Oryza sativa Japonica Group: one gene and its partner. The protein of the gene in region 1 interacts with the protein of each later gene in a pairwise test. Links are inferred from orthologs where the notes say so. Each region holds a gene or a part of one and is shown in the gene's direction. Other genes may lie near its edges.

Region 1 (3,476 bases):
AATCTTGTTTAGGAATAAGTTGTCGTCCCTTAACTTGGTTTGATTGACATTTCTAATTTCAAATATCAGAAATCTTCAACTCTAAACTATACAAAATCGTACAATTAGAGTCCCATGGTAGTATAGACCCCATTTCCTCCTATTTTTGTTTACGTGGCAGATATCTGAGCCCACATGTCAACATGCTGAGTCACCCATGCCGTTTCAACGTGCTCTCGTTGGCTGTTTGGCAGGATGTCCTCCTACGCCTGCAGCGCGTCCACTGACATCGATTGATAGAGACACCGACGCTGTGATGATGGTGTGCATGAACTGCATCTCCCTCAGCTCATCAAGGTCAAATCAAATCATTCACGTCGTAACGAGCGGGCTAGAGCCGGATTGCACCATTCACGCTGTAACGAGAGGGCTAGTGCTGGGCCGTCACTCTACCTCTAGGGCCATCACCACTACGCTCAAGGCCATGCCGCCACATGCATCCAAGCCGCCTAAGCCGGCGTGCCATTGTTGCGCCTTGAGGGCAGGCCACTGCTACGCGTTGGGCCCGCCCAGACGCGACTGTGCCTCAATGCTATCCGATTCTACGTGTCGGGGCCAACCAACCGATGCGCTGTTGCTCCATCTAAAGGCTGCACCGTGGCTCGACCATGAGGCTGGGGCTGCCCAGCCACCACTCCGGCTTGAGATGGCGAACTTGGCGCTAGCGGTGGAGTCATCATCAACCTCTATGCAAACGCTGCTGCCGTCAGGAGCTAGCAAACAGGCAACGAGAGAGCTCACTCCGTTGACACGGCATTGGTGATAACATGCTGATAAGTGGGCCCAAATATCTACCACGTAAGTGAAAACAAGGAAAAATATGATCTATACTGCTATGGACCTAAGGTGCATGGTTTTATACAGTTTAGGGTATAGACTTCTGGTATTTGGGAGTATGGATGTCGATCAAACTCGACATAAAGTTGAGAGTTGGCCGGTGGACTTATCCCTCCTGTTTATACCACCGTGTTGTTGTGACCCATGGTCAGCCCGGCCCAATAAACACACGAAGGCCCAATAGCCCAAACAATCTAAAACCCTAGAAATCCAATATACAAAGGTAGTGTGCTCCTGCCTCCGCGTGGTTTCCATCCCCGCGCGCGCCGCCCCTCTCCGCTGCCGGCCTCCGCTCCTCCTCCGGCGCCGTCGCCGTCCCATCGGCCTCCGCTTGCCGCCCGCTCCGCGCTATTCACCCCGGCCGGCAGGTGAGCATCGGTTTCCCTCTCCCCGTTTTCCCCCCATGGTTTGGGTTTCTCCGAGGCAAGGGGAACCGCGTGCGTGTTTGTTCTTGCCGTTCGGAGTCGCCGTTGATGCCGCCGCGAGTATATAGACATAATCACTGAGATGCATGTAATGAAGTATCTGGAGCGAGCGAATGGATAAACCCTAATCTCTCCCGGCTCCTCCTTTGAAGGAGTGAAGAAAAACTAGACTGTTATTATCATTCAATTGTGACTATCATTTTCTTAGCTTCGTGCTGCATGATTGTTTTGATTGACTTATCTGTATGTATTGCATTCTGTGGTGCCTATCATTTATGGGATTGTGCTGATTGATTTATCAATCCTGCAGTGACAATGGCAAGGCTTGCAGCTGAAGACCCATTGGTTCGCGATGAAGCCATATTGGATGATGATGATGATGATGTTGATACCGACGAGGAAGAGTCCGAGTCGGAAGATGATTCAGGGGAGGAATTCCATGCCGAGCCTTCCAAGAAAGCTGTCTACAACAAGGAGGGGATCCTGGAGAAGCTCGAGGACATTGCGTGGCCGGAGAATGTGGACTGGAGGCACAAGCTCACTATCGAACATGACCAGGGGGAGAAAGTCGATGTGAACGACGATCTTGCTCGTGAGCTTGCGTTCTACACGCAGGCTTTGGATGGTACGAGGCAGGCCTTTGAGAAGTTGCAGTCTATGAAGGTCCGGTTTCTCAGGCCGGCTGATTACTATGCTGAGATGGTTAAGACCGACGCTCACATGCACAAGATCAAGGGGAGGCTCTTGTCTGAGAAGAAGAAGATTGAGGAGGCTGAGGAGAGGAAGAAGGCGAGAGAGGCCAAGAAGAGGGCGAAGGAGGTGCAGGCACAGAAAGAAAAGGAGAGGGCCAAGCAGAAGAAAGAACAGATTGAGTCCGTCAAGAAGTGGAGGAAGCAGAGGCAGCAAGGGGGCTTTGCCAAGGGAAATGATGATGGGCCAGATCTGAATTTTGAAGGTGACGAAGGGTTCAAGCAATCAAAGAAAAAGAGGCCTGGTGTTTCTCCTGGTGATAGGTCTGGTGGTCTTGCTAAGAAGGGTAAACAAGGAAAGAACAGGAAATCAAGGGATTCCAAGTTTGGGCATGGTGGTCGGAAAGGGCTGAAGAAGCAAAACACTGCGGAGACGACAAATGACTTCAGAGGATTCAACCAGATGGACAAGTCACAAAACAAGAGGAGAAAAATGGGTTGACGCGATATTGTAAGAATCTGCGTCTGCTTCCTTGAGCTGTATTACTAGTTGTTTTTGGTAACTTTATTTTACTGCAGTACATCGTTGCTAGATGCGAACGTTAGTTGAGATAGATTGTAGGAGGCAGTTAAAACAAAAGACCATTTTATGTTTTAACTATGCTGTTCTCCACAAGATATTTGCATGTATCTGGTGATGGCCCTTTTTCGTTGTGTGATGTGGAAGAATCAATCTTACCCTGGAATTATCCTAAGAGTGTCTTAAGGATGCTTGGTGCACTTCCTGTTTTGATATGTTATCTTTCTGACCGTTATTTTATATTGATGCAACAAAACTGAAACGTAAACAACACTTTCCTATTGTGTTGTAAATTTGTTTATTGGTGAGTCAAGTCTCCCTCTCTTCTATCTTAGATTATACTCCAATCAGCATAACTCATTTGGTTACCTTGTTTCTTTCCCTGTAGTTTCTAGTGAATGATATCATTTGTGAGTTTCCTCACTGCATTAGTTGTGATGGAATTTCAGAAAGAGCTTGCTTTTGTACTGCATTTGATTGTGATGCTTCCTTGCTCTTCATGGTGGATGTGCATGTCCATGTGGAGTGGATACCATTTCCCATTAAGATCGTGAATATGGTAGTAGTACTTTTGCATTATAGCTACAGTGTCCTTTTGGTCTTTACCTCGATTAGCTTGGAATGAGCTATACTGATAGTGATTTGATGCATGGAAGCCCATGCTTATGTTGCTTCTTTGCTGGTGATGGTTGTCTATGATTTGAAAGCAATTGCCTACTACATGTTACAACATATCCTCTGAAAATATCTGCTAGTATTATATAACCTCTTGCAGCTGCACTAGTGCGTTAAGAAGCTGCTACTATAATTCTTGTGATGTGTTTTTTTCTTGTATATTATCTGTCCGATCATGTTGATAGAAATTTTTACGCGAACTAGCAAAGTGCCCATGCTTTGCTTCGCAGC
Region 2 (3,478 bases), on another chromosome or scaffold:
CGTCATAATTTGACAATGTGGTGCTACAGTAAATATTTGCTAATGATGGATTAATTAGGCTTAACAGATTCGTCTCGCAGTTCACGTGCGGAATCTGTAATTTATTTTGTTATAAGTCTACATTTAATACTTCAAATGTGTGTCTTTATACGTTTTTCTTTTCTAAAACAACTAAACGCGGCCATAGTTCGTTAACCACGAGCTAATCGTCTGGGTTTTCGACTAGATTTTTGTCACCAGATATCTTTGTTAATACAATCATTATTATTTGTATATTGCAGCATGCAGCGGCAGCGAGAGCGAGGACCACCGAGTTCCTCCTCCTCCTAGTTGATACCCTTTTGGGAAGAAACCAAAAGAGCCAAAGATTAAGAAAAAAAAAACAAGCTAAGCTAGCCCAACGGCAAAACGGAGTGGGTCTCATTGGATCGCTAGCGTTTTTTTTGTAGCTAAATTATTCACTGGCACGCGGGAGAAACATAGAGCATCCACGTCGACAAGTGGATTTAGCGCCTACAAGTACCACATGTTTCTGTATCCCTACACTAGAATACTCCTATTTTCTACTATGCAATAATGGACTATAGTACTTTGTTAAGACGAAAGAAATCACGTTAGTACGTCACCGGGAACAAGCTGGCTCCATTTTACTATATCTCTTTGCATAGTTGCATGAATGCCATGGTCTCACAACCCCATTTCCGATGCTGATTAGTTGATTAATTTTCCTCCTAATCAGTATCATCTCGATCGGTGAGCTCGGGCAGGATAACATAATGAACACCGTTTTGTAGCCATTCCGGGTACATGGGGGCGTATGACCAAGGCAGAAAGGATGTATCCGGAAACGGCAAGTTAAGGTCCCCACTCCCCCACAAACAAATTATAGTAACACAACGGTGGAACGTTCGAATTGTTATAGAACTACTGATATTTACATAATCGGGAGTGCTTGGTAAAAGGGTTAGTTTGGTAATATTTGATTTGATTCAAGGCATATTTTTTTTTTGCCCAATTATCGTAAAGCCAAAAGCACGTAACAAAAAATAAATAATTCTATGCTATAAGAAGATTAAGGTTCAAATATTCTTTCATGTTGTTTTACAGCCTCATCGATTGCTCACATATTCTAATGAGGTTTATTAGAAAATAAAAACTAATTTACAGGTAAAACTTTTATATGTGTGTTATTAACGATTTAAAATTCAATGCTAAAAAGAAACTACGTTGAAAATATCTTAAACTAAACTTCGAAATTAAATTTGAAAATTTAAATTGTGTTTTTTTATTAGGACAACCCATGAGGCTTTTCTACTTATACTCTATTAGAAATTCAACACATCCCTCGTTCACTTAGAAATTTTAATGTTAGAATCGTTATATTGATCTTCTGCTACCAAATGAGCCCTGTCACTGTAAGTCTGTAACGATATTAACAAGTCGTCGTCCCATCCAATTAAACCAAAACTTATAAAGAGTGTACTAGATCTCTAATACAAACAAAACATGATGGACTACCCAAACCTTCAAAAGATTCTGTTCAAAACAATTAGAGCCCCGTAGAAGTCAAACAGTGAGCTGCCCCTGCCTGTGCTGTCCGTAGCAAATCCAGAACTGCGAAGATCGCAAGCAAAGCAAACTTTTTTTTTTTATCGACGTGCTCCCAACTGGCCAGCCACAACAAACACCCTCTCCCGTTTCATCCCCACACATCATGAGATACATTTGATACTACAGCTCTACTAGTGCTGCCGCTACTCATGGCGCTGATAGCCATACGCGCATGTGTGCAAGTGCAATGCAACCCAGCTCCCACAAAAAAGTCACAGCTAGCTAGCCATCGATAGCTCTCGGCGTCTCGCTCACATAGACCCTAGCAAAGCGAAGCACCGCGTTGCATGCGCCCAGCTGCTGCTGCTCACCGCGCCACATCGCAGCTGCAGTAGAAGTAGATCAGAGAGAGGCGGAGACAGATCGAGATAGAGAGGACTAGAGGAGGAGGAAGAAGCAGCAATGGAGCAGCAGCAGGAGCGGCCGCGGGAGGTGTACAGGGAGTGCATGCGCAACCACGCGGCGAAGCTGGGGACCTACGCGAACGACGGCTGCTGCGAGTACACCCCCGACGACGGCCACCCGGCGGGCCTGCTCTGCGCGGCGTGCGGCTGCCACCGCAACTTCCACCGGAAGGACTTCCTCGACGGCCGCGCCACCGCCGCCGCCGGAGGGGCGGGAGGCGCCGGCGTCGGCGTCGCGCCAATGCTGCCGGCCCCCGGTGGAGGCGGGCCGCCGGGATACATGCACATGGCGGCGATGGGAGGAGCGGTGGGCGGCGGCGGCGGCGTCGACGGCGGCGGCGGCTCCGGGGGGAGGCGGCGGACGCGGACCAAGTTCACGGAGGAGCAGAAGGCGCGGATGCTGCGGTTCGCGGAGCGGCTCGGGTGGCGGATGCCGAAGCGGGAGCCCGGCCGCGCGCCCGGGGACGACGAGGTGGCGCGCTTCTGCCGGGAGATCGGCGTCAACCGGCAGGTCTTCAAGGTGTGGATGCACAACCACAAGGCCGGCGGCGGCGGCGGCGGCGGCGGCAGCGGCGGCCCCGGCGCCGGTGGAGGCGCCCAGACGTCGTCGTCGACGACCAGGGGCGGCGGCGACGTCGGGGTGGGCTTGTCGCCGGCGATGGGCGGCGACGGCGAGGACGACGAGGAGGTGAGGGGGAGCGAGATGTGCATGTAGGAGCCACGTACTTACGTAATGCAGGCAGCATTGCAAATTTGCAATTGCATTGCTAGGGTGGGATAATTCACAATTTAATTAACTCTCTCTTTTTTTTTGCTAATTTCTTTTATTTTTTGCTTCCCTGAGTTGATTCTTGCTGATGAGATTGATTGTTTTAACGGTGCCACTAATTAATTGTGTGTTATTATGATCATTCATTGGTCAATCGATTTTGTTGTAACACTCAAAGGAGATGCTTCATAATTTCTCCTCTTATTTCCCTGTATATCTTGCATAAGCTCACTACTCAAAAGAGATGCATTGTACTGAGGAAGTACGTAGTACATACGAAGGGCATGCTTCTTTTGTTATTCTTTTATTCGACATCAAGCAAGCATGAATTTATAGCACGCCAAGAATCAAGATGGGCATAAAGTTTTGGAAAACTGCTTCTGTTAATTCTATTGGAAGTTCGCGCTTTCATTTTTTTGTAACCACCAAAGTTTGTGATGTACTAGCACTGAACTTTATCTCTATTCCCGCGTAGAGAAATTAATTTTATTTGGGTTTCACTATGATTTTCTACTACTAAAGAAAATTAAAAGGCTGTTTCTAGAAAGTAGCATCGGAAATAAAGACGCATTCCACATTTGCATTGAATGTGTTATACTTCCTCAATACTCGATTTTTCGAACAACATTTTTGTCAAACTTTTAAACTTTTGACAATAATTCTGTATCATTTTTAGAAAACCACGGTACAAACA

Evidence for each region.
Region 2: the proteins of probable rRNA-processing protein EBP2 homolog (region 1) and zinc-finger homeodomain protein 11 interact in binary tests that used the Arabidopsis thaliana proteins (3 or more experiments, as listed by UniProt). The link is inferred for Oryza sativa Japonica Group from reciprocal best matches to the Arabidopsis thaliana genes AT3G22660 and HB32.

The regions. Positions count from the first base shown.
Region 1 is NC_089041.1:17,360,156-17,363,631, reverse strand, and holds probable rRNA-processing protein EBP2 homolog, read left to right. Parts: upstream 1-1,101; 5' UTR 1,102-1,244; intron 1,245-1,611; 5' UTR 1,612-1,616; coding exon 1,617-2,492; 3' UTR 2,493-2,745; downstream 2,746-3,476. UniProt on the Arabidopsis thaliana protein: Required for the processing of the 27S pre-rRNA. Plays an important role in plant growth and senescence by modulating ribosome biogenesis in nucleolus. Associates with ribosomes.
Region 2 is NC_089037.1:29,969,235-29,972,712, forward strand, and holds zinc-finger homeodomain protein 11, read left to right. Parts: upstream 1-1,665; 5' UTR 1,666-2,013; coding exon 2,014-2,730; 3' UTR 2,731-2,831; downstream 2,832-3,478. UniProt on the Arabidopsis thaliana protein: Putative transcription factor.